Tamandua tetradactyla: one gene and its partners. The protein of the gene in region 1 interacts with the protein of each later gene in a biochemical or structural test. Links are inferred from orthologs where the notes say so. Each region holds a gene or a part of one and is shown in the gene's direction. Other genes may lie near its edges. The genes, in order: RNF8, H2AC20, MDC1 and UBE2V2.

Evidence for each region.
Region 2: of the proteins of RNF8 (region 1) and H2AC20, one has a biochemical effect on the other in vitro, tested with the Homo sapiens proteins (2 studies listed by BioGRID). The link is inferred for Tamandua tetradactyla from reciprocal best matches to the Homo sapiens genes RNF8 and H2AC20.
Region 3: the proteins of RNF8 (region 1) and MDC1 form a complex in vitro, tested with the Homo sapiens proteins (2 studies listed by BioGRID and IntAct, with this or other methods). The link is inferred for Tamandua tetradactyla from reciprocal best matches to the Homo sapiens genes RNF8 and MDC1.
Region 4: the proteins of RNF8 (region 1) and UBE2V2 form a complex in vitro, tested with the Homo sapiens proteins (2 studies listed by BioGRID). The link is inferred for Tamandua tetradactyla from reciprocal best matches to the Homo sapiens genes RNF8 and UBE2V2.

What each region holds. Positions count from the first base shown.
Region 1 is NC_135331.1:94,290,400-94,297,740, forward strand, and holds the start of RNF8 (E3 ubiquitin-protein ligase RNF8), read left to right. Parts: upstream 1-4,321; 5' UTR 4,322-4,459; coding exon 4,460-4,570; intron 4,571-7,341. UniProt on the Homo sapiens protein: E3 ubiquitin-protein ligase that plays a key role in DNA damage signaling via 2 distinct roles: by mediating the 'Lys-63'-linked ubiquitination of histones H2A and H2AX and promoting the recruitment of DNA repair proteins at double-strand breaks (DSBs) sites, and by catalyzing 'Lys-48'-linked ubiquitination to remove target proteins from DNA damage sites.
Region 2 is NC_135330.1:5,947,707-5,953,022, reverse strand, and holds H2AC20 (histone H2A type 2-C), read left to right. Parts: upstream 1-4,129; 5' UTR 4,130-4,184; coding exon 4,185-4,574; 3' UTR 4,575-4,735; downstream 4,736-5,316. Other genes in the region: histone H2B type 2-E, read right to left, coding at 3,496-3,876; histone H2A type 2-B, read right to left, coding at 4,736-5,128. UniProt on the Homo sapiens protein: Core component of nucleosome. Nucleosomes wrap and compact DNA into chromatin, limiting DNA accessibility to the cellular machineries which require DNA as a template.
Region 3 is NC_135331.1:85,600,514-85,607,771, reverse strand, and holds the start of MDC1 (mediator of DNA damage checkpoint protein 1), read left to right. Parts: upstream 1-4,242; 5' UTR 4,243-4,364; intron 4,365-4,374; exon of another isoform or gene 4,375-4,571; intron 4,572-4,693; exon of another isoform or gene 4,694-5,417; intron 5,418-6,171; 5' UTR 6,172-6,174; coding exon 6,175-6,310; intron 6,311-6,937; coding exon 6,938-7,258. Other genes in the region: TUBB (tubulin beta chain), read right to left, coding at 1,033-1,089. UniProt on the Homo sapiens protein: Histone reader protein required for checkpoint-mediated cell cycle arrest in response to DNA damage within both the S phase and G2/M phases of the cell cycle.
Region 4 is NC_135332.1:90,674,143-90,681,153, forward strand, and holds the start of UBE2V2 (ubiquitin-conjugating enzyme E2 variant 2), read left to right. Parts: upstream 1-3,997; 5' UTR 3,998-4,039; coding exon 4,040-4,055; intron 4,056-7,011. UniProt on the Homo sapiens protein: Has no ubiquitin ligase activity on its own. The UBE2V2/UBE2N heterodimer catalyzes the synthesis of non-canonical poly-ubiquitin chains that are linked through 'Lys-63'. This type of poly-ubiquitination does not lead to protein degradation by the proteasome.

The sequences.
Region 1 (7,341 bases):
CTTGATATGATGTGATGAGAATGACACTTTACCTTTGTGGTCTTCCTCCCCAAACCCATAACCCTAGTCTAATCATGACTAAAACCTCAGACAAATCCCAACTGAGGGTTATTCTACATAATACTTGGCCAGGCTGGAGTTATAACAATCGTTAGGAAATTAGGTTCTGGAAACAGACCTGAGTGTTACCTGCCATTTCATTTGTTACTTTGGGAATTTCTCTATGCCTCTTTCCTCATCATCCCTAAAGTGGGGATTATAATAGTAACTGTTGCTTTCTGTAGAAACAGAGCTGGAAGGATATTAAGGAATGATGAGAAAAAAAGAAAGGAAGAAAGAAAGAAAGACACAGATGGGCTCAGGGGGTCTGAAGCTTGAGTTTACTTCAGACAGACTTCAGACCCCCTGAGCCCGTCTGTGTCTTTCTTTCTTTCTTCCTTTCTTTTTTTCTCATCATTCCTTAATATCCTTCGAGCTCTGTTTCTACAGAAAGCAACATTTGGCGCCCAACGTGGGGCTCGAAGAAGACTCCAAATCAATATTAAGGAACCAAGGAAAAGTCTCATAGAGGCACGTGTGTCCAGCCGATAGAAGAGGACTCGAGTCATATTGGTAAAGTAAGCATTTTCCTTGGATCATCAGGGTAACGGGTAATCATAATAGGCGGCTGGAGGAGTATGTGTGTGTGTTAAAGCTACTGGGGTGCCTGTTAAAACATCTGAATTAGTAAGCTTATTTGATCTCATTCAAAAACATTGTTGTTGGTTTCAGCCTTAAGGCCATAATGTTTTAAATCTTAAGTAATGGAAATTCGTTATGAAGGCTTTGCAGTGAATATAAGACGGGGAAAATATTCCTGTTTCTATTTGGTTATTGTGTTCAGTCAGGCAATGAACTACCTGGCTCATGCTTTGTCTTAAACTCTAAGTTGTGTTTCTTCTCAATCTCCCACTACCACTTCTTACCCTGTTTCGACAGTTGCTTGAGCCGGACTCGGCAACTGGTGCCCAAACAGGGATCTAATAAGGGAACTCTTAAAGCATAAAGTGAGGAGATGCTCCAGGGACATCCACTACAAATACTACAGGCGGGCCTTTTTGGGTTGAGCAGTGGCCCTTATCTGTAGAGAGGTTTGAGGCTCTGACTCGGTTGATTTGGGAACAGTTTGGAGCAGGACGTTTACAGGAGTCTCGTGGTTCTTGGAATTCTCCAATATTTATTGCAGGAGGGAGGTCAGGAAAATGGAGAATGTTGACTGATTTGATAAAAGTTGATACTGTGATTCAGCCTATGGAGTCATTGCAGCCTGGCTTGCCCACACCAGTTGTAATTTCTAAGAACTGATTTATTATGATAGATTTTAAAAATTGCTTCTTTGCTGTGCCTTTGGCAGAGCAGGATAAAGAAAGATTGGTTTCTGGGCTTGTTCTTGATGGGCTGCCTTTATATAGGGATTCATGTACACCTGAGTCAGAAAGTATTCAGTGAGAAAGGTGCCATACCAAATGGGGGTCAGTGCTCATTGATGGTTCCTGTGGCAGGTTGGTCCCCAACGGGGTGTGCAGTTCGGGATTGTAGTTCTGACTCAAGGTATTCTGTTAGGTTACCTTTGTTTAGTCTGAATGATTATTCTATGAGATTTATACCAATACTACAGGTAAAGTCCTATGACTCAGAATGGGAACGGCAACCCCATCTCCTTTTGTTAACTTAAATCCTCAATAAACAGCAATTTGGAAACTGGCCATGAGTTTAGCTCCTATTCATGTTTGAAAAGAGAAATATATTTTAAGAACTTTAAAACTAAAAATTCTTGTTAAAAACTATATATTGATAGTTAATGCATATTTGAAACATTAAAGTATTTTAAATATTTAACATTATTCTAACAAATTTAATTTTGATGGTAATTACATATGTGGTAAAATATTTGTTCAAAGTAATGATTTAAGTATGAAAAATATGAAAGATGTATTTTTATTAATAGGAAAACAGAATAGTTTTATCCTAAAATGAATAACTGTTACTAAGCGAGAAAAATATAGGACAAAGCCTAAACTAATATAATAAGTGCTGAGGGTTTATAAAAATAGAAATTATGGTTAAAATCAAGAAAGATTTAATGAGTCTAAAATGACAATGTTTTCTTGGACTTTTAGCCTGTTCTAATGAAAGGATATAAAAAAAATTCTAAATAATTAGTTAGAAAGCAAAGAGTCTGTGTTTTATCAAAATAACTTGTGTTAACTTTTATCATGTTATTATCTGTATAAAAAATACTGATTTTCTCCTGGGTATCATCATACTGGCAAAAACTGCTTCTTGCTCTAAACCAGATGGCTTAATCTATTAATCTAAGTACTATTACTATAAATGAATCTATTACTGACTAAATAATATTCAAATCATTTAAATACCTAAATTCCTTTAAGCCAAAATACTTTAATGCTTTGTCCAGTGTTTATATAAACTATATATGTATAAACTAAATTTATCCCAAGATAACCATGGCTTATATTGGAAGCAGATCAGATTTGAGGGTTGAATGCAAGGAAAAAATATACTTGTGGAGTCTTTTTTGTTCACCTGATGTTGCCATTACATGCAACTGATATTGCTGGGAAGACCTTGGTAAGAAATAGTTAAAATGTACACTTTAGCTGGGAGGACTGCCTATCCCCCCAGAAGGCGGTGTACTTTAATAAAGATATCTAGGTCCCAGGAAGCTCCTCTTGGTCCCTAGCCAGTTCCCAGAGGACCCAACTGGGCCCAGTCATGTAAGCAAATCAGAATTTGGCCACTATTGTGAGAAAATATCATAAAAACTGCATGAAATAAATTTAAAATTAGCAAAAATGCACAACCAATTATAAAGAATCCACATTCTTGCATTCCTTTTTAATCAATCCAATGAATTCAATTTTAAAAATCTGGTCATTTACTATGGGTACACGTCACTATTGACACTCTGCTTTCATTTTTGCTATCTGCCACTTTAGGGATTCCTAATTATATGTTACAAAACTTGTTTGATATTTTACAAGGAGATTCTGATTTATTAAGCAAAAGGCAGTTAACAGCTGCAGCTGAATGAGAGTTACAATTAATTGAACAACGCATTCAAAAAGGACAGCTTGTTCAAATAGATCTAAAAAATCCTGTTGATTTTATTATTTTCTTTACCTTGCAATCTCCCACAGGCCTATTTTAGCCAGACGGTGTTTTAAAATGGATTTTTTTACCAAACAATTGACAAAAATGTTTAAATACATATTTGCAAAAGATTATTTCTTTAATAGTCAAAGGTCACCAAAGATATTATCAATTAAGAGGTCATGATCCCTAATTGCATAGTGTGTGATCTCACAAAGGAAGCAACAAGTAACCACCGTGATCACATTGTTTGTGAGGAGCAAATAAAGCACTTGGCCTAGTGCCCAGCACCCAGCTCTCAATAAATGTTAGCTGTTTACTGGTATGCTTTATAGATTTAATTTAGTATACATATTTTCTCCTGATATAATTTAATATAAGAAAATTGTTAAGCAGGTATTGGAAAACTGAAAAGATAACAGCGGACATTGTATCATCCCAGAGGAAGTTACTATCTACCCGGAGTAGCTACCATACTATGTTGGAGATTTAAACAAACAAACAAAAAAAACAAACACATTTTATTGAGAATAATTTACATACCATAGAATTCACACACAGGAAGTGTAGTTGTTTGACTTTTTTTTTGGTGAAACGGTTGTGCAATCACCACCACAATTCAGTTGTAGAACCTTTACATCATCGCCCAAATTCCTCAAGTCCACTTGCACTCAATCCTCCGCTTCCACTGGGCTCCAGGGAAGGACTCATCTGTTTTCCGCCTCTATAGATTTGCCTAGTATAATTTATCAAATTGGGTAATACAAGGTGGTCGTGAGAAATAGATACTATTGAGAGACAGACTTAGATTTAAAAATTACCACGAAGTTGTTCAAAAGTGGGTTACAGTTTTAAATAGTATGGATCTAAGTACAAGTTATAAGAATAGGGGTCGTAAGTACAAGTTTCGAGAGAAGGTGGGGGAGGTAAGTGAGGAGAAGCTCCAGTCTGGGGCGGCTGGGACTGGGGTTGGGGTTCTGGAGAGTGCGGGAAGCGGGGAGGGTCAGTTGATTGCCTCGGGCTGCCCGGCCCTAACCAGAGGTTGGACGTTAGCACGCTAGCGTTAGCACACCTCCACAGCCGCCTGGCCGTTTGCGCAGGCGCACTGCCCCTGGCTTGCTCTCCGGAGGCGGGGCTGGGCAAGTAGCCCGAACTTGTGATCACATCGATCGCGAGCGCGAGGCGATTGCTTCTGTCTGTTGATTAGGTATGGCACTCGCGAGGAAGCCGAGAGGCGGTAGGAGCTGGGACCTGGACCTCGCTGTGTGTTGACCGCGGCCGGGGTCTGACCTAGGCCGTCTGGGCTATGGGGGATCCCATCTCCTTAGACACGGGAGACCGCTCCAGTGGTTTGAGCTGGTGCTTGCAGCGGGTGGGGATGGACGCCGAGTGGCTGCTGCTGGAGGCTGGAAGCGAGGTGAGGGGGGGAGGGTTCCAGTTGGTGCGAGGGACGGGGGTTGGTGGAAGTAGAGGAAAAGGGGAGGGGAGGGAAGGCGTAGGGGCCCGTGGGACCGAAGGAGAAAAATGATTCTGGTGCGAGCGGTTGTGGGGTCTGAGTTGGAGTGTGTGTTGGGGGAAGTAGACATCGAGTGAGAAAATTGAAATACGGTTCATGGGAGAATAGAGGGCCATAAGGGGCCGGGGACAGAGGCGCTGGACACAGGGACTAGGAGCTAGAAGATGGCCCCTTTGAAAGAGGCCTGGACCTGAGAGACGAGCTTGCGCAGGAGTCGGGGTTGTAGGAAGTATTAGAGTGGAGGGAGCAGAGCGAGGAGTGCGCATAGACGATGTGAGAAGAAACTGGAGTTTCCAGGAGGAGAAAGGGGACTGGGACGGCCAGTTGGGGAGCGAGGGAAGTATGAGGCAGAGCTGCCCCAACTTCCACCTTGAGTTGTCAACCCCCTTAAGTTTAAGGCGGAGTCAGGAAGGGCTACCCAGAGCGTGAACTCCCGAGTTTATTTTGAAAACGATTGCGAGTTTTAGTTTATGTCCCCTAAAATACTCAAACCTTAATGTGAAAGTATCTTCCTCTTTTCCAACTCGGAGGATAATTGGCACTTTGGGATAGGCCACGTTTATCCTGTGAGTCTTGTACCGCCGCCGAGTGGCACCTCCTGAAGTGGGCAGAAGGTGGGGATTCAGAAACGTAGGAGTTCTCCTCTCTAGAGGTTGCTTATGATGTTTGCTAATGCGTGCATAAGTGGAAAAAAAAAAAAGAAATTTGAGGTGAGGTTCCAGTTTGGGGCGCTGTGCTTGGTTTGAAAGTATGTATCCCAGAAAAGCCATGTTTTAATCTTGATTCAGTCTTGAAGGGGCAGCCGTTTCTTTTAATCCTGATTCAATACTGTAGGTTGGAAACTGAGTGTGACCTTTGATTAGATGGAGATGTGACTCCCTCCATTCCGGGTGGGTCGTGATTTGTTTACTGGAATCCTTTAAATGAGGAAACGTTTTGGAGAGAGTCAAAAGCCTCAGGGTGGACTTGAACTTCAGAGCAGAGCTGACACAGATGCCAACACTTGGAGAACAGAGACACGGATGTTTGGGGATGTTTGGAGATGCTTGGAACTCAGCAGACATCGCCATGCGATGTTAAGCAAGCCAGAACCTGTAGAAAGCCAAGGGAAGCCAAGAGATAAAAGCCAGCCCCTGAGAAGCAAAGTGAGGAACTCTTACAAGAACAGAAGCTGAAAGCAATGGAGCCCAGGAGCAAGGGACCAGCAGATGACAGCCTCGTGACTTCTGAGCTGACAGAGGTGTTCCAGACCCATCAGCCTTCCTTGAATTAAGGTGTCTGTCTCTGGGTGCCTTAGTTTGGACATTTTGTCAGTATTAGAACTGTAAACTTGTTAACTTATTAAATTCCTCTTTTCAAAAGCTGTTCCATTTCTAGTATATTGCATTCCAGCAGCTTGCAAACTAATACAGGTGTCTAGGAGTGGGATGATGGTTCTAGAAAGGAGGAGTAAGAGTTGTGATCATGTTGGGAAGGAGAGGTGAATCAGGAATCCACCTGTGGTGATTGAAGTTTGGTTTGGAAATAATTTGAGAGGTTCACTTTGCAGTAAAACTAGGTGGTTGATCATTATTTGGGATTAATTTCCAAGTTTTATTCTTTGTATATTTAATTAGACTTTTCCTATAAGCAGTATAGTCTTCCCCAAAGTGTATTCATTTTGGGAATTAACAAATTAAAACATTAACACCTGGATAATGCTAACTTTACTTCTTTTGTATAGGGTTGGGGTTTTCACAAGTGTCACTTAATCTGAGTCCCTGTATATGCGCTATACTCTCACATGCAACCATATTAGATACTTAATACTCGAGTGTTAACACATTCTTTCAGATTCAGTTGCTATGGATTAATTTATTACTTCTCCTGGACAGCGTGTGATAGCACTGGGAGTCTTGGAGGGTAGCATAAGGAGAAAGAATTCAAGCACCTGCAGCAAGGGCAAGAGGACTGTCAAGCACTCTTGGACATTTAAGCTATTGGGTAATTTTGTGTGGCTGCTTCTATGGGGAAAGATGCATACAAACCTGAGTGAATGGTGAAGATGACTGCGGCTTGCCTAGAGGGCCTGGGCAAAGGAGAAGACCTGCTTGGCGTGATTATCCTCAAGATGTGCTCTTTTTTTTTAGATATTAAAAAAGAAATTTAATATCTTCAGTAAGTGAAATGGAAGGAACCCTGTTTTACCACTTTATCTGTGAAATGTAGGGCCTTGAGGGGAACTGGGAAGGTAGGAAACTGACTTTACTCTGCTGTTACAATCAAATGATGCCAGCACACCTCCTAAAATAAATTGGCTTATTGAGGGTAAGATGATGCAAAAAATATAAAAATTAAAAGCTTATCTGGCATTTAATTGACTTTTCTTCCACAGTGTGTCAAATGGGAGTTGGATTTTATTTGTACATTTTCTAAGGACCCGATCTGTTTTGAAATCCTTATGCAGAGGGAAACTGTTGGGAAGATTCCTTAAGCAGCTCTTGGGATAATTCTTATGAGGGTGGGGGAAATTAATTTCTTAATTCTGCCTACTTCTTTCCCTTCTGCTTTATGTATTCTACAAAAATAGTCATTACACGTGTTGGTGAGCCCAGCAATTAGCAAAAAGAAGCCCTGGAAGCCAACTTTGTCATCAATACTGGTCTAGATCCTTCATTATTTTGTCCTCAGCC
Region 2 (5,316 bases), on another chromosome or scaffold:
GCATGGATATTTTTTCAAGCCCAGTGGAGGGCATATCTATTGCTTCCCTATATTTGTTAATCCATTTATCTGGGTGATGGACAGTTGGGATGGTCCTAGTCCTTCTCCACTTTTAAATTCTGACCTTATGACATGGTGGCTCCAGAGAGAAACAGGATAAACTTTCTTTTCCCAAGGGGGAAGGAACTCATAAGAGCCTTGACTTGAAGAAGAAAGCTGGCCATGCCAGAAAGCAGAGGCAGTCCAATCCGCAGTCAGAAAAAAACAAGTAGGCTTAGGAGAAGGTGAGTAGATCACTTTGACTAGAGCAGAAAACCTGGATAAAGATGGAAAAAAAAAGATGGAGATAACGGAAAGCCTTAAACACCAGGGTTTTTAAAACTGTGCACTGGACTGCAGTTCTACTAACTTGCTGTACAATCCTGGGCAAGTTACTTAACCTCTCAGAGCCTCAATTTCCTTTACCTGTGAAATAAGGATAATAATGGTACCTATCAAGTGAAAATCTGAGATAATTCACATAAGTATCTTAGCAGAGGACCAGGTAATAGTTAAGTGCTCAGTAAGTGATAGCAATTATTACTTTAATTATAGTAATTATTAAAATAGTAACTTATTATTAATAATTATGATTATTAACTCCAATATAAGCAAAGGCAATTAAAGATGTTTGAGTGGGAGAAAGAAATGATTAAAGAGAGTCTTTAGGATTAATCTCACCATCACTGATTACCTCCCCTCCCAGTGAAAATAGCAAACCCTATCACCTCTTTCCCTTTCCTTACTCTGTAACTTCCTTCCTAATGAACATCATGTCCAGGAAGGGCCTGCAACCAGCAAGTAGTGTTCTTCAGTGTTCATGAAAAGATTCCAACTGTTGAGTGCCAGGTGGGCCAGGCCAGCTGAGTTAGGCTGTGTCCTCTAGGCAGGAGAGCCAGAGCTCCCCAACCCCCTCCCAAAGCCTCGGGAGCGGTATGTAAGACTTTAGTCATCACCTCCTTACCTCCCCCCACCCAGATTTACATCCAGTGTGCATTTTGAAAAGAGTAAAGCAGGTGGTGTTTCATTTAAGTTTTAAGCGATAGCTATTTCCCCAAACACCCAGGGGTAGGGGTGGAGGGTCCTGATTTTCAGCTAGTGAGCCTACTTTCTCAGGTCATCAAAAAAATTTCCCAAGCTACAGAGACTAGCAGCTTATTCTCTGAAGAGTTTCTGAGGAAAGGTCTCTCTGTGCCCATTTCCTCATCTGTAAATTGGAGGGTAATGGTAATACCTACTTCATACAGTTTTGGTGAGGATTTAATGAGTCAATGAGTGTAAAGGACACAAAACACGAGATGCCACATGGTAAGAGCTGTTATAGGTATGAGCTTTTATCATTTACTAAAGTAAACTTTAAAGCCTTTATTTCCTCCACCCTGTTTATACTCTGTATCTGTTGTCACAGTTTTCAAAACACTAAGCATGAAAAGTGATTTCTCATCAGACTATTTCAGCCCCAGGGGACCTTTGGGGAAGTGAATTTTGTGCTGAAGGTGTATATTCTTCCTTCAGATCACAGGTACTCAGCTTTCTTGAAGATTCAGTGGCAGTTATTTTGTTTAACTGAGAGTGTATTACAGATTAACGGACCCAGCAAAGCTTTCAAATTAATTGGCAACCTTATTTTTATTTATTTTTCTGCATGGGCAGGCACCAGGAATCAAACCCAGGTCTCCGGCATGGCAGGCGAAAACTCTTCCTGCTGAGCCACCATGGCCCACCCTAATTCATAACTTTATTTTTAACAACTGCATTTACACACATTTGAAAACACAAGAATGAGATACAAGTTGCACTAATATCAGGGCCTATTCGGATTCATGAAACCTCTGGAATCAACTCAGGAGTCCCTTAACCCAAAGGAAAGTGCAGAAACTGCTCAGACCAGCAGCAGTGCCTTCGTCAGTAAAAGCACAACTTGGACAGAAACATTCGAAATTCTATAACTCCACAAAATAAAACCAAAATGCAATTGTCTTCATACCTGAGGATACAAACACCATCAAAACCTTAGTTTCGTGACTGTGAACTTCATTTGTGAAGGGGTCTTTAGCCCTGGGGTCCTGCCTGTCCCAGCTAAGTAAGAGTCTCCTGAGAAACAAGGGAGATAGGGCATATTAACAGCAGTCCCAGTGAAGAAGAGAATCAGGATGGGGGGGGAGGGGGCGGGCATAAAGGGAGCTGGCTTGGAAGGCTCATTGCACTTTCCAGTGACGAACGCTCTGAACTTGATAATCACCCCGAAGACACTACTCTGAGCCGGGAAGTAAAGGGAGGTCTTACCAAAACCACATCCCCCCGCGCAGAAAGGACCTGACCATCGCCCCTCCCAGTGGCTGCAGACAGGTCCTGTACTTGGAATGTGCTCCAAACCACAGGTCCATTCTCACCGAGGCGTGGTGGCTTCAGACACAGCTAAGGGGAAACAAGCGCGCCCATTCGTCCAAGAAAACGGTGTGGGAAATGAACTCAAATACTCACGCAGCCAGTGCCCACTGCTTCTGGCCCTGCCACGCTGAAGATACAGCTGAGAACCAGGCGAGAACCAGGCCAGGTTTCCTGCCCTCAAAGGCTCGCAAACCGGAGGGGAATAAAGACCATAAATAAGACAAACGAACCACACAATTTCCCAAGCTGCTACGAAGAAGTTTAAAAAAGAGTGAACGGAAAGACTGGAATAAGAGGCGCGGACTCCTGAATGGCTTATCTGGTGGGGGGGGGGCGGTCTCCCCGAGGTGACTTTGGGACCAAACCTACGTGACCAGGGCAAGGATTGCGGTGACCTAAGGACCCCGCGTTCCAAGCAGCGTTATATGTAAAATAACCCGTAGAACCGGGGGGGGGGGGGGGGGGGGCGCGGAATAAGGTTTTAGAATCCTGTAGTGAGCAGAGGAATCGGAAGCTACGAATTACGAAACGAAGCGGGATTCTGAAAATTCACCCCGTCCAACCCGGCGCGTTTGGGTGTGGGCTCCGCAGGGGGCGCCTACAGCCACTGGGACCCCTGGGCGGCCACCGGTGACCCCACATGCAAGTCGCTCCAAGAATGGCTACATAACTAATACAAAAAGCTGTCGTACGACGTTTCCGACCCGAACTCAATGTATCCTGGGGTCTTTCCATTAAGTTCATCAGTTGAAATCACTCCGTTTTCCACGCCAAGTTAACAAAGCGCCGCCTACCCTACAAACAATTGGAAACAACAAATCCTTTGCATCCTAATAAATCCTTTCCCTGAAAACACAAAGGATAAAGATGGGTCTGAACTCAAAAACATAACTAGTCACGGGCCGGGGTCGAATCACTCCCGATTCCACGTTTCCTTTAGAAACGAATCTAAAGTGAAATATTAGATGGAGAAAGCTCTTTTCTTGTGACCGAGTGGGTGGCTCTGAAAAGAGCCTTTTGGAGCTTTAGGCGAGCGCTGGCGTGCGCGCCCCGCCCGGCAGGGGCTCACTTGGAGCTGGTGTACTTGGTGACGGCCTTGGTGCCCTCGGACACGGCGTGCTTGGCCAACTCGCCGGGCAGCAGCAGGCGTACAGCCGTCTGGATCTCCCTGGACGTGATGGTGGAGCGCTTGTTGTAGTGCGCCAGGCGCGACGCCTCGCCCGCGATGCGCTCGAAGATGTCGTTGACGAAGGAGTTCATGATGCCCATGGCCTTGGACGAGATGCCAGTGTCCGGGTGCACCTGCTTCAGCACCTTGTACACGTAAATGGAATAGCTCTCCTTGCGGCTGCGCTTGCGCTTCTTGCCGTCCTTCTTCTGCGCCTTGGTGACGGCCTTCTTGGAACCCTTTTTGGGAGCGGGAGCGGACTTTGCTGGTTCAGGCATTATAAAATAACGCTGAAATCAGCAAAGGAGACACAAGGATAGGCGGGCCTGAACCTTTTATAACCACCTTATGCAAATTAGGGCTCCAAAAGTCTTTCCTTTCCATTGGGCCATGTTTTATCATCAATGCCTACGTAACAGCGCCTACTCTGGACCTTATTGGCTGTTTCTGGAGCCAACTTAGGACCAATGAGAGTCTCGCTCCTGACCCCACCCCTAGGAAGGCTTATAAAGGCTTTCTTTTTGCCGCGTTGCTACCACCAATTTTCTGTCTCTTGGTGTGTTTGTGTGTTTAGTTTTGATCTGCCATGTCGGGCCGCGGGAAGCAGGGAGGCAAGGCCCGCGCCAAGGCCAAGTCGCGCTCGTCCCGCGCCGGCCTGCAGTTCCCGGTGGGCCGAGTGCACCGCCTGCTTCGCAAAGGCAACTACGCGGAGCGGGTGGGGGCGGGCGCGCCGGTGTACATGGCGGCGGTGCTCGAATACCTGACGGCCGAGATCCTGGAGCTGGCGGGCAACGCGGCCCGCGACAACAAGAAGACGCGCATCATTCCTCGCCACCTGCAGCTGGCTATCCGCAACGACGAGGAGCTCAACAAACTGTTGGGCAAAGTTACCATCGCGCAGGGCGGCGTCCTGCCCAACATCCAGGCTGTTCTCTTACCAAAGAAAACCGAAAGTCACAAGGCTAAAAGCAAATAATCTGTCGATAACGCCAAAGACCACCAAAGGCTCTTTTTAGAGCCACCCAACTTTTCAGAGGAAAGAGCTAGCGCTACCTGTCATCAGCCCTTCTTTTGCTGTTTAGTTGGCTCTGAAAAGAGCCTTTGGGTGGGGGGCGGTGGCGGCGTCACATCTCGTGGTTACTTACTCTTGCCCGGCTTGTGACTCTCCGTTTTCTTAGGCAACAAGACGGCCTGGATGTTGGGCAGGACGCCGCCCTGCGCGATAGTGACGCCGCCGAGCAGCTTGTTGAGCTCCTCATCATTCCTCACGGCGAGCTGCAGGTGGCGCGGGATGATGCGCGTCTTCTTGTTGTCGCGGGCCGCGTTGCCCGCCAGCTCCAGGATCTCGGCCGTCAGGTACTCGAGCACCGCCGCCATGTACACCGGCGCGCCCGCCCCCACCCGCTCCGCGTAGTTGCCTTTGCGAAGCAGGCGGTGCACTCGGCCCACCGGGAACTGCAGGCCGGCGCGGGACGAGCGCGACTTGGCCTTGGCGCGGGCCTTGCCCCCCTGCTTCCCGCGGCCCGACATTGCAGCTAAAAGCACAGTGGCTGTTTCTATTTCAAGGGCAGGGATGGAGCAGGGAACCCATTTGCTGTGATTTATAAGCGCAGGTCGGGAGCGGAGCGGGGCGGGGGCCCTGATTGATTGGCTGAGCGCGCAGCCGCGTCCGCCGCCAATGGCGAGCGGGCGACAGCCGTGGGCGCCCCGCACCGCGC
Region 3 (7,258 bases), about 8.7 Mb from region 1:
CTTCATGTGACTGCAGCGCACGCGCGGGTCTAGCCGCCGACAATGGGAGGCGTCGCGCGTGGGAGAGGCGGGGCCAAGGGCTTGAATTACGGGCGCGTGGGGCGGCGCCCGGCTGGGGCTCGCGCGCCCCCGCGGGCCAGCAGGACCGCATTGTCCTCGCGCGCCTAGGGCGCCCCGCCCCGCCGGGCCCGCCCTTCTGCTACAACGTAGCAGCGGCACTTCCTCCCGTCCCCTCCCCCGCTACACTGTAACCGCGCGCAAAAAAAAAAAAAAAAAAAAACCCTAGGCCTTGGAATTTTATTCCTTCGCTAAGTTTCTTTTTCTTGCTTTAAAGGAGGGTTGCCCCTCTCCCACTTAGTCTCCTACGGCTATTTTAAGCGGGCATGCTCCCTCCTTTTCTTCCACCCTCTCCCTATCTGTTCACTCCGTTAAAGGATCTCGTTAAGGAAAAATGAAATAAAATTGATCACGTACATTTTATCCTTTCATTCACTTAAAACTACAGGGACCGGAGCCGTGCGGGGGTCCCTTATCTTTTGTTAAGGGGGCCGGGCAGCAGTCCACATGGCGCATTGTACCCCACCCCACCCCCAGTTAGGCTAGACGCCCTCTGCAGCTGCCCGCCCAGCCTCGCCCCTTCCCCCTCGGGCTTCGCCCTAGGAACTCCCGCCAAGGGGGGGGGGGGGCGAGCGCGAGATGCACATGGGGCAGGCTCGCCTCGCTTTGTCTCGGGAGGTTTCCGCATCTCGCTCCCCAGTCCTCGGACCGTTAGGAGATCCTCTAAGTGCAATTTTACAACTCCTCGGTTTTCCCGCCCCCGAAACCCGAAGGGTCCTTTCCGAAAGTGAGCCTGCCAAGAAAAATAATCCCCCATTTTCCAAAGGCAAATTCTAGCCACAAATATGTATAAAACTTCCCCCCCCCCAGCTTAAGGATGGAGAGCACGAATATCCCACAATCATTCTTCATAATTTAAGGCTTTCCTTCTTCCTGCTCAAAAGAAATACAGTTAAAGAGATTTAAAATCCTTACCTTGGCACCGATCTGGTTGCCACACTGACCAGCCTGGATGTGCACGATTTCCCTCATGGTTAAAATTTATTTTAACTTTTTGCTCGCCTCAAAGTGTGTGCGGGGCAAGAGAATGATATGGAATCTTTCCCTCCGCGGGTCGCAAGCTGGCAGGATGGCTCGTGGCCCGGAGGCTGGAGCAGCAAGGTCCGAACGCGGCAGCAGGAAGGCTTTGAGAGGGAGAAAGAAGGAGGGGGGAGGGAGAGGGAGGGAAGGCGGGCAGGGCGGGGCGCGCGTGCGCGGCGGCTGGGAGGCGGGAGAACCGGCCCCGCGCGGCGGTCGGGAGACAAAGCCTCATCCACGCTGGCCCTGATTAGTTGATGGCAGTCATATACCAGCCGTCCATTGGTCTCGACTCGCAGTGGACGAGCGCGCTCCTCTCTGGGAGTTGTAGTCCTCTATTGTTGTCCACGCCGCAAAATGAGGTGACTAAAGGGTGGGTACCGGGTGATTTTTTTTGTGTTTCGTTTTCTTTTGTTCTTTTAATGAAAAATGATGACCTTGTGCAAGATCGCTTTCTTTACTCCTGAGTTTTTTTGCACAGAAAGGGAGTTTTCGAAGATACAGGAATTGGGAAGACTGAGATGCCAGGCGTTGGGAAGTGGGGTGGGCACGCCCAGAAAGCTCCCTGCTGCCTTAGCTCTTGAAAAGATAGGAATGCTTAGTTCAGCGAAAACTGGGGAGAAATGCGGCACCCTGCTCTGCTACCCGACGTCTGGTTCTTTGTTGACCAAACCTGAACTCCAGTAAACCACTGCGCCTCAGGAAGCAGTTGGGGATTGTCCTTCTCTTATTTATTCGCTTGAGAATTTTCGAATGATGTTTCGAAAGAGAAACAGTATTGCAGCAAGGACTTTCCAGGATAGAGATGTAGCTGCTGGAGGGTATGTTCAAAGAATAAGTTGAATGGTTTAGGCAAGTTGATGTCAGAGTACTGTGAAGCCAGAAGTTTCAGTCCAGTAGGGAATCTGGGCCTCATGTGGGCGTTGTAGACATCTTGGTTTTCTTGTCAAGCAAGGAACTATGGAGTTATATGTCTGATAGAAATAGCAGGGTCTTTCCAGCTTGCCTTTCTAGGTACTTTGATGAAGGCAATGTTTTTTCAGTTTGCTGCTTTCATTTGTAGCTAACTTCAAGAGCTACAAATGAAATGGGGAGAATGGGGGGATCGATTGGTAAGGAGAAATCGGATGGGATCCAACAATGCCACTCTGACCAAAAGGGAAAAGAAGTGTAACAAATAAGGTATCAGTGGCTGAGAGAGGTCGAGAGGCTACTCTGGAGGTCACTCTTAAGCTTCAGTTAGACATCGTTACCTATCATAACTTGCCAAACCCTAACCAAAATCATTCTTGCCAATCCTAAGAGTGCCCAGGGAAATATATAAGATTCTACCAAAGTTCCGTGCATTAGGGTTACCTACAACCTCCAGATGGGTCCCTGGACAAGATAAATCCTGAATGCAGAGGGGCCATCCTCTCCAGAACATCAACTGGTTCCATCCCCCATCCCATATTTTCAACAGCCCCCTCCAACGTGAAAAAGTTAGAATGGACATAGCCCAAATACCCCTAGAGAGTGGGAGAAAGCTCAAAGATGATGGTGTAGTTATACAGAGAAGGTAGGGTTTAACAAATGAGTATGATTGCTGAATCATTCATTACATTGATATTTATTTTCATCTCCAAGTGTCTTAGAGCAGCTAGAAGTAAAAACCTAAAATTGTGGAAGTGTGACCCATACCAACCTCTGAAAACTGTTCTACAACTAATTGTTGCCATTTGCTTTGAAATTTATTGCTTTTTTGTATATGTTATTTTTCACAAAAAAAGTTGATTGTGATTATAAAAGCACAGCTATATGATGATATTGTGAATGTGCGCTTTGGATGATTACATGGTATGAGAATATATAATATAAATAATCTTAAAAATTGGATGGGATGATGTCACAGTAGCTTGCCTTTTGTTCCCAAATATCCAGTCATTTGATAGATATTACGTGTTCATCAAACCAGAAGCTAGAGATACAAAAATGATTAAGAACTAGCGTCCTGTCTTCCAGGACCTCAGTTTGATGAGAGTTGGATAAACATAGTAACAATAGTGTGGGAAGCACTATAATAGAGATGTGATTTCAAGGTCGTCATTGTTAATTCACATTGGATTTAATACATTTCTCAAGTCACCTTCTAAATAATGGAATATCAAGTTGTGTAAGACCCTTCCTCATCTAGTCACTTTAGATAGAATATTTTATGTTCTATACCATGATCACAACGAAAGCCATTATTTTGTGGCAGTGGAAAGAGTTTAGAACTTAGAGGACTTGTTTCGAATTTATCTCTACCTTACATTAGCTTTAGGAACCTTGGCAAGTCGTTTAAACCGCAGAGCTTCAATTCCTACGTTTGTTAAAATCTAGTTCTGCCTCTTGTATTATGTGGTCAGAATTAAATGAGAACTAATGGGAAAAATAAATGCATTTCAAAGTGCTGCAATTCTTTTCATGTCAGCTTGAGATACTGAAATGATTTTATTATCCTCCCACTCGTTGAAAGGTGCGGACAGATCTCAGTAATCCTTTTAAGACGGTTAGCCCAGCAGTTCTCTCTGTTCGCCTAGGGATCTGTGCTTTAGGAAAATGACCTCAAAATCTCCGTCAGTGATGTATCCCCAAGAAGAAATGACATGACCTCTGCAGAACAAGACAAGTCAAAAGGAAATGAAATTCCATTGCTATGAGGAGTCCTCAAGCGCCACGCCTACGGCCTGTTCGCACTGCAGCCTGCAGCCACGACTGCAAGCCGCAACCCACTTCTCATGAGTCAGCGGACACCATGTCTGGGAGGACCGAGAAAGGACGCCCTGGCCGCACCAAACGCATTGAGCGATGGCTATCGTATAGCCCTTCTATCCTCCGCAAGCAGCGGGCGCCAAACTCTATGGTCACGGTTTGGAAATCTGCGCGGGAAGTGGGCAGTGAGCGGTGAAGCGGCGGTGGGTTGTCCCTTGGAACTGCCCAATCGAGGTGCGTAGTTGCCTGCGCGCAGAGCAACATCGGATTAGTGTCTCGCAGTGTCCTGCGAGAAGCTGCCCGGGCGGGGCGGGGTGGGGCATGCCGGGGGTGGAGTTTGGGCTGCTTCAGCGCGGGAGGCTCCCCCAATCAGCGTGCAGCCGAGCTGTGAAGACAGCCTCAGGAGCCAATCAGCGAATCGGCTCCTTCCCGGCGTCCGCGCTCGCGCCACCTGGATCGCGGCCGTTACTAGCGGCGCGCGCGACGACTCAAAGTAGGTGAGTTCTGGACGCCCAGTCCGCTGCTCCCCGGGTGCCATCTTGATTCTCCCGGAGGGCGGGAGGGGCGTGCCCTAGGGGCGCCTGGGCGGAGGCGACTCGGAAGTTTGCTTCTGGGATTGTCCTGCCCATCCGCACCTGACGCCCCGCCCCGAGCTTAGGTCCGAAGACGCAGGGAGACGTTGGATCCTGAGGGGACCCATTGGTGTAAGGTTCCAAGATGGTGGCCCTTGGGTTGGAGTCAAGGGTCGTGGGGGACCCGCTTAGTTGTTCACAGGGTCGGAGTTAACACTTTTTCCTACTTGTCACCAGTCAATGGTTTCTCTCTAGGGTGGCATCTTTTTAAGTGGATTCTACCCGTGTTATTTTGAGTTTACATCTCCTTCCATTTGTTCTTTTTTCGATAAGCTCGGCGATGTAACTCTAGGAGGGCAAGGTTAATGGCCCTGCCCACGAATGGGTGTTGAAGGCCCAAATGAAAGTAATAGTTCCAGTGTGATAAGAACTGTTAGGAGAGACACGAGTCCATTGATCCCTGTGGAACACACAGGATCCACCAGGCGTCCTGGAAAGGCTTTGCTGAGGAAATGACATTTAAACGGAATTTTGAAGAATAAGTGGGAGTTGAACAAGGAAACTAGGAGTGAAGGGCAAGGGCAAGCTGGGCTAAAGCAGGCAGGTGTAAGGAGATGCGGGGATAGTATGTTGAGAGATAGGGGAGAAGGCCCATTTGGCTGAACCATAGGCTGTTGGGGCAGGAAGGTTAGTGCATTGCTGGACATGAGGTTCAGCTAATTGAGGGTTTTACTAAAGAGTTTAGGTTTTTGTTTTGTCCTGGGATCATGGAAAGCCTTCAACGGGTATTGACAGAGGCGAGACATTATCTGGGTGATCTTGGACATGTTCTTTAACACATCTGTGTCACAGGTTCTTTTATCAGAAAAATGGGAGCTACCAGCTACCTTAAAGTGTTTTGTACAGGTTAAGTGAATCAGTCAGTGTGAATTAATTAAAACAGTGCTTTGCACAAAGCAAGCCTCTGTATGTCACCAGGTATTGTGATTCTTTGCAGTTTTCTCTGACCACACTATATGGCAAAGTGTAAAACACATGGACCTTGCAGCCAGAAGCACATTTATTCCTGTCCTTTCCATTTGCTGTGTTATCCTGAGCAAATGATTTAATATTTTTAGTCTTAGTTTCCAAAATGCCTTTCTCATATGGCCGTTAATGCCAGACATGTAACACAATGCCTGGGCCATAGTTAATGTTCAGCAAACGTTTGTTCCCTTTAAAATTATGTTTTTCAGGGTGGGCAAAGGTGGCATAGTGGCAGAGTTCTCACCTGCCATGCCAGAGACCCGTGTTGGCTTCCTGGTGCCTGCCCATACAAAAAAAAAGAAAAATTATGTTTTTCAAACTGAATTATGACCCAAGAGTAAATAGTGAAATCAGTGTAGTGGTTTGCAAATTAGCATTTAAAAAACAGAGAATTTAAAAAAAGAATGAAAAGATATCAGTGTATTGTAAATAGTAGGGTTTAGCATTATTTCTCAAAACCGTATTTTTATAAATAAGCACAAAGGTTTAAATATATCTGTACCAGGAGCCATATCATTTTCTACTTTATGTCATCATCAAAAATGTTTGAGAAATACTTCAAAAGACTATCGAGAGAATGAATGAGAGAAAAAGAAGCATCAGTTTCCACAACTATCCAGTTTTACCTCCAGTTATCAATTTCTTCTCTGATGTTGTGTGTGTATGAACTAATGGTGAGGACAATGATAATGTGTTTCTTTCCCAGGTCATGGAAGATACCCAGGTTATTGACTGGGAGGTTGACGAAGAGGAGGAGGAAGAGAGAGCCAGTGAATCCTTGGGTTATAGTTTGGAGCCCTTAGGGCGACTGCATATCTTCGGCAGTGCCCATGGACCAGAAAAAGGTCAGGGGATATTGGGTACTGAAGTGTTTGTATAAGTCGTTTACTTTTTTTGTGAGGAGGTATCTGGAGGGTTGCAGGAGGCTTATATATATTTCAAGGAGATTTGAAAAAAATTTTTTTATCAGAAATGGAAAAGATGCTATTTGAGTTTATTGTTCTAATCTAGTGCCCTAGACTCAGTGGGAGTGATTTTACTTTCGTAGGAGAAGATGGAGAGATTCAAATTAAAATTCAGGGTGGAGGGATATGGCTTATATATATATATATATATATACGCTGTACAGTGGGGGTCACATTTCATTCTTTTCCATTGAATATCCCAGTATCACAGCACTATTTTTGTTTGCTGTTTTTTTTTGTTTGTTTAAGTACATCGGCCAGAAATCAAACCTGGGTCTCCTGCATGGGAGGCAGAGGATTCTACCACTGAACTAACATGCACTCCCTTGGAGAGAGTATTGAATATGAATAATACATTGTGTATACTCTTCAGTGCCTAGATGTTCTAGAGCCTTTTGTTTTTCTAATGCAAGTGGGGGCCTTGAGTGAGTAGAGAAAAACGTAACAGCAACATTTTCCTAAGAAAAGACTCTGGCCTTGGAACCTATCTTCCTTTCTAATTCTTAGATTTCCCACTATATCTTGGGAAGAATGTGGTAGGCCGAAAGCCTGACTGCTCTGTGGCCCTGCCCTTTCCGTCCATCTCCAAACAACATGCAGTAATTGAAATCTTGGCTTTGGACAAGGCACCTCTCCTCCGTGATTGTGGGAGCCTCAATGGTACTCAAATCCTCAGGCCTCCTAAGGTTCTGAGCCCTGGGGTCAGTCATCGTCTGAGGGACCAGGAGCTGATTCTCTTTGCTGACCTGCCTTGCCAGTACCATCGCCTGGATGTCCCCCTGCCTTTTGTCTCCCGAGGTACCCTAACTGTTGAGGAGACACCCAGGG
Region 4 (7,011 bases), on another chromosome or scaffold:
CAATCATTCATGGAGGAGAGGGTCTATTTCTGGTCACTCAATTCAATTCCATTGATCAGTATATTTATCTTTATGCCAGTGCCATGCTGTTTAGCCACTGTAGCTTTATAATATGCTTTAAAGTCAGGTAGTGTGAGACCTCCCACTTCATTTTTCTTTCTCAAAATATTTTTATCTTTTTGGAGCTCCCTGCCCTCCCAAATCAATTTGGTTATTTGTTTTCTATTTCTGCAAAGTAAGTTGTTGGGATTTTAATTGGTATTACATTGAATCTGCAAATCAATTTGGGTAGAATTGACATTTTAACTGTATTTAGTCTTCCAATCAATGAACATGGTATGCCCTTCCATTTATATCTTCCATGATTTCTTTTAGCAACTTCTTGTAGTTTTCAGTGTAAGGGTCTTTTGTGTTCTTAGTTTAATTTATTCATATATATCTTATTCCTAAATATTTTATTCTTTTGGCTGCCATTCTAAATGGAATTTTTTTTCTTAATTTCCGCCATAGATTCCTCATTATTAGTTTATAGAAACACTACTAATTTTTGGGTATTGATGTAAACAGTCACTTTGCTATACTCATTTATTAGCTATGGTTGTTTTGGTGCACATTTTTCAGAATTTCTGACATGTATTATCTTATCATCTGCAGAAAGTGAGAGTTTTACTTCTTCCTATCCAATATGGATGCCTTTCATTCTTTTTTTCTTGTCTATTTGTTCTGGCTAGAACTTCCAGTGCAATGTTGAATAACAATGGTGACAGTGGACATTCTGATCTTAGAGGGAAATTTTTCAGTCTTTTCCTATTGAATTTGATGTTAGTTGGGGTTTTTCATATATTCCCTTTATCATGTTGAGGAAGTTCCCTTCAATAACTATTTTTTGAAGTTTTTTTTTTTTAAACTTTTTTACTGTGTAGTATAACATGTATACAAAACAAAGAAATAGTAAAAAAAAAAAAAAAGCCATAGTTTTCAGAGCACTCTTCAACAAGTAGTTACAGGACAGATCCCAGAGTTTGTCATGGGCTACCACATGATCCTCTCAGATTTTTCCATTTCCTTTTTTTTTTTTTTTTCACATGGGCAGGCACCGGGAATCAAACCCAGGTCCTCGGGCATGGCAGGCAAGCACTCTTACTTGCTAAGCCACCGTGGCCCGCCCCAGATTTTTCCTTCTAGCTGCTCCAGAATGTAGGAGGCTAGAAAGCTTAAATATTTTTCTTTTTTATTAATTAAAAAATATATATATAACAACAAACAAAAGCAAATATTCTTTATGTACAATGCTTAGCATCTAGTAAACTCTCAATGATGCTACTCTTTTTATTTTTCATTGTAACTGCTTTCGTCAGGAATATCTGTGAGGCATAAACAGATGGGAGGTGTGAATTAAAGAATTTGGCCTTGTAGAAGAGAGCCTGGGCCTTTGCCCTAAGTTCCCTGGAAGAAATTTATAAACCCTTAAAATTTCCTGAGGATAGAAGTGTCTTTATTATTCATTCTGGGTCCTTTTGGGCCCTACGTGGTAGTTTATGCTTAGAAGGGGATTCATACTATGCCCCTTGGGCCACATTATATCAGCCTGACCTGGTAGGTGAGGAACTGGTGACTGAAGTCAAGGTTGTGGGCAATTGATTAATTAATCTTGCCTACATAATGAAGCTCAATTAAAACTCTGGACATCAAAGTTCAGGTGAGCGTCCCTGGTTCCAGATGTTTTAATTCTACGGGGCAGTCAGAGGTAAGGCCTGAGGACAACTGAAATTTTGTGTTTGGGACTCTCCCACACTTTGCCCTATGCAACTCTTGGCCTAATCTTCCTTTTGCAGTGAAAAAAATTATATTTAGAATTAGCTAGCTGCATTCAGTTTAGATGGTCCCAATTTCGTTGGCAACATCCAAAGCATCTTAGTTATAAGTCAGTGGAATGTATGCCTTCTTTTCTCCATCAGACAAGATTAAGGTGTTGACCTTGGCCACGTCAATGTCATAGAGTTTCTTCACAGCCTGTTTGATCTGGTTCTGGTTGGCCTTGACATTCACAATGAACATCAGTATGTTGTTCTCTTCAATTTCCTTCACTGCTGACTCAGAGGGTAAAGGGAACTTGATGAAGGTTTAGAGGTCACGCTTGTTCCTATATTTGGGCTGTCTTTAGAGACCCAGTGTCTTGAGCTCATGAAAGGTGGGTGATGCGTGGGTCTTTTTCTGTGTGTGTGCATTTGGCCACCTTTCAGCCCCGCCCTTTGGCCATCAAAACATTTGCTTTGGCTTTGGTTTCTGGAGGAGCAGAGGCTTCCTTCTTCACTTTTGGTACCATTCCCATTAAAAGATCTTTGGCTAATTTTGAACTGTACCTTTTCCTTGTAATAAACTGCAACTGTGAGAATAGTAACTTCCAGTGAGTCCTTTTACTGATTTACTGACCTTAGGGTGGCTTCTGGAACTCTGCCATTCCACCACTCTGCAGTTGTTGTAAGAAGTGAGAGCAATCTTGGGGGCTGTGTCCTCTAACTTTGTAAGTTAACCCTAACTGCTTGCAGTTGGTGTCTGAAGTCTGGGCAGACTTGGCAGTCTGGAGGACTGTTCTCTCAACCTTCACAGTTTGGCTAATTCTGGGTTAAAGATAATCAACAAAATTGTGAGGTCTTCCTTTATTTAATCTTGCTTCCATTCTAAATAAACAGTAAGAGGGGCAGGCAGATCATTGTATATGAGTTGCATACAAAAAGGCTGCTTCATTTTACTCCTCTGAGCTCCTGGAAAGCACAGAACTCAGCTCAATGTCTGGTCCAGTATAATATTTAGTAAACATAATTGCATGATGTATTAAAAAAGTACTACAGTTGGTGTTCAGACGCCTGATTTCACAACCCGCTTTCACCATTTACCATCTTTTTCATTTTGGAAATGTTGCTTAATTTCAGTTTCCTCATATGAACCTTGCTGTGAGGATCGAATAAGAAAATGAATATAGTAGACATAACATTTATTACTTGATTTTAAAAAGTGAATCACTACCGTTATTAGATCTCTGGAATGCAGGAGACTATCAGGGGAGTGAGACATAACAAGATGTATATAATATACATGAATATATTGAATAGATTACAGAAATGCTTATAAATGATCAGCATTCCTGAAGAACACGCAGGAGCTGTTAGAAAAAGAAAATACTTGTTTTCTGAATTGATATGAATTATCTTCACAACAAACGACAAATGCTAAATCAACTATTTTTAGTCATGATTGGTGGGATTGGATATGACCGGAGAGTAACTGATGGCAAAGAACTGAGAACAATGGATCACACACCAGAAGGCCTGGATCACATTCCAGGTAGTCATGAGGCTCATATACAGAATGAAAGAGTTTTATAATTGAGGTGTGCTGGGAGAAAATGGAAAAAAATAGCTTACTCCACTCTCCCAAGTCTCAACTGGGGTAGAATTTGGAATGTACAAGAATCACCCATTTGAGACGATAAGATGAACTATTTATGGCAAGAGTAGTAGTTTCTGTGATTTCAATCAGGTTCAGCAAAGAGGCATATGCCCTTTCACAAAAATTCCCCTAGCTTTATTTTTTAAAATGCTCTTACAGAAAAATGCATGGCGGGCCACGGTGGCTCAGCACGCAGAGTTCTCGACTGCTATGCAGGAGACACGGGCTCGATTCCCGATGCTTGCCCATGTAGGAAAAAAAAAAATGCATGGTTTGCTTGGCAAGGGGGCTTCTTGGATGCCCAGCCAGACACCTCAGCTTTCGCTGGTGGAAAATTCGGGTTGGACCTGAGTTACCCAGTCTCCCTCATTCGGGAGAGCTTCGTTCAGAGGACCCATATCCCTGCCCCTCGAGCCCAACGCGCCGTTCCAATTCCTCCCGATTCTCGGGTTTCGGGCGACTGCTCTACGTCGGCCCTTCAGCGCAAGGTCCAGGGGCGGGGCTCAGAGGCGAGGCGGAAGGCGGGCTCCCGGAAGTGACGCAACACGTCGCCAGACGTGCGTGCGGCTGCGTTGGGCTGCAGGAGAAGATGGCGGTCTCCACAGGTCGGTTCCCGGGCCGGGCTGCCTTCCTTTCTCTGTCCGACTCAGCCCTACGCGCTCCGCTTGCTGCTGGCGGGCGGGCGCGGGCAGTGGGCGAAAGGTCGGAGGGTAAGCCCGTGGACCCGAGCTGTCGACGGACGAGGTCTGGGCAGGGTTCGGGCCGGCGAGTGCCGGCGAGGAGGCCCGAGCGGCCGAGGGGAGGCGGCTGCAGGTCGTGTTTGCGCGTTCGCGGCGCGCGCGCGGCCTGGGGCGGGGTACCCCGGCGCGGACACACTCGCAGGGTCTTACGTTTTGGGGCACGGGAGGTCTGGGCCGGAGGAGGTGCGGGGGCACGGAGCGGAGGCCTAAGGTGGGCGGGTGTCAGCTACGGGACCGGGAAGGGCTTCGAATTAAGGGTTGTCCTGGACTGTGGGGGTCCGGTTCTCCTGTGCTCGAATTCCGATCAGGATTGAATTTTTGGTTGCTGTTGTGGAAGAATAAGGGAGAGATGATCATTTTAACGTGACTGAATACGTGTTATCTTTTTTTAAGTGAAAAACTGCGGTGCAAACAAAATTAAACCGCAGAGCAAAATGAAAGGTAATTGAAGAACAAGTGGTTTCTTAGATAAGCCGTTCAACTCTTTTTCCGTACTGTATACAATGTTTGATTTCCTATTAGCACAGCCTTGAAATTAAGCATTACTGCCGAGGTTTTAGAAATTTGACCATTAAAAAAATGTTAAGTTAAAAATGTTAAATTAAAAAAAATAAATTTTACGATTTAAAAATATTAATGCATATAATGTCACTTTTCTAATCTTTATTGAAACATTAGGTTATATAGAACAGTGTCATTTAATATTTCGTGTCATCATTGCATAATAAAACGAATTTTCAAATCTTTGCTAGAATGAAAGTTCTCAAATGTGTGTCATAATTGGTATTTTTAAATTAATACCTTAGGATACATCCTATGTGTTTTTTAATAAAAAATATCTTTTGAATCTCAGCTTTGTTTTGTACAGGTGTTATAGGTGATAAGATCTTTAAAAAATCTAGAATTGGAAAAATATTTCAATGTACTTAGGGTCAAAGATAACTAGTATTATCTCTGAGCACGTTTTATTAAGAAAATGACATTTTACTTTAATTTGTACTTGCCTCAGATTGAATATCTCAGGTGTTCTTAAAGAGTTGTGCTCAGTACCTACAGGGTCTTGAAATTTTAATAATAAAATTGTGTATTTTGATTTGACTTGAGTTTTTATTTTGTGGATTGCATTGTTTAAGCAGGATTTTTTTTTCTAATACCATACATGTGGAAGAGTTTTAGAATACTTTGGAAAAAAAAAAACAGTAGATGATTTCAATGGCACATACTTTTTGTTAACCTTGCCTAGTCGTTTTTGAAGGACTTGGGAGGCTTGGGAAAGTGGAGTAAGCTATTTTTTATTATAAATTATAAAGAATTTGCTTATCATTAGCATATTTATTATGTATCAGAAACCTGTATTTTACATTGTCTGTTACTGTTTCCTACTGTTTTTTTATTTTTTCTTTTACATGGGCAGGCACTGGGAATCGAACCTGGGTCTCTGGCATGGCAGGAGAAAATCACTGTTTTTTGACTTAATGAAATTTGAAACCTAAGCATAATTACAAAGTAAAATATTTTAGGCAATTCATTGAGTTTTCATGAACTACTGAATTTCTATTTGAATCTGTCGCTAAGAATTTTCCCTGGTCAATTTCCTATTCATTTGTCCATTTTCGGCTTTTTAGGCTATGGACTGTTGAGTGCAAAATGGACTGTGTTTTAAATCTGAATAATTATGTTTGAAATATAGTTTCAAAATAGTTATGTTTGAAATATCGTTTCTTTCAGGTATACTTCCGTATTGTCTGTTTTGGTAGCATGGGAGTGAAACAGTACCTGTATATTTGGATATATATTTGAATATACAGGTGTATTTGTGTATTTGAAATAAATGTGTTGTAGCTTGAAATTTAAAATTAGAAGAGCTAAATGGATGTGATATACGTTTTTTTATTTTTATATTGAAAAAATGGTTATTTGAGAGGAAAAAATCCATTTTCAAATATTTTTTGATCTTTAAATATTATGTTTGAATGTACAGTATCCAAATCACATGCTTTTACCCTTCCTTTTACCAGACAAAAAGAGTCGGAAACAGAATCTAATTAGCTGAGCCTTAGCTGGAAGGTTATCATCCTGTCTGGTCATCTTATTTTACAGAAGAGAAAACTGAGGCCTAAAGAAATAAAAGATTATACATAGCTGACTGGAAGTGTTCTCTCCCTTATGCTGAAAAGTGAAGTTGGCATATTCCTCAGTACTTGGATTTTACTTCTTTAAGAGGTTAGAGTATGGCTTTCAAACTTGCCTTCGTAGCGGAGGCCTTGATTTGGAGACCTAGAACCTTCCCACAAATATGAGTGGAGCTGCAGTGGTTCCAGACCCCACTGTCTGGGTTTCCTTTCCAAGAAGCAGAGTCATCCCTGGGATCCAGAGGATTATGCAGAATATGGTTTAAGAACCAGTGTTAATAATGCTGGGAATAGAAATTCATTGAATTTAGTATCTGTGACTCAAAAATTTCGTTAGATCTTAGCATCATTAATAAAAGTTGGTGTTAGATAAAGAAGTATGTATAATACTTAAAAAAAATTAACCTTTTGATTTTAGAATAACTTTAGATTTACAAAAAGGTTGTGAACATAGAATAGAGAGTTCTCAAATAACCTCCCATATACCCCACATTCAGTTTCCTCTATTGTTTACAGCTTTCATTAGTTTGGTACGTTTGTCACAATTATTGAACCAGTACTGACACATTAATGAAAGTCCATACTTTATTCAGATTTCCTTAGTTTTTACCTTAGTTCGAGCCTTCAGTGGAAAAAGGATATTACTTAATGTACTATTTCTGTCCCAGGATTCCATCCAGGATATCACA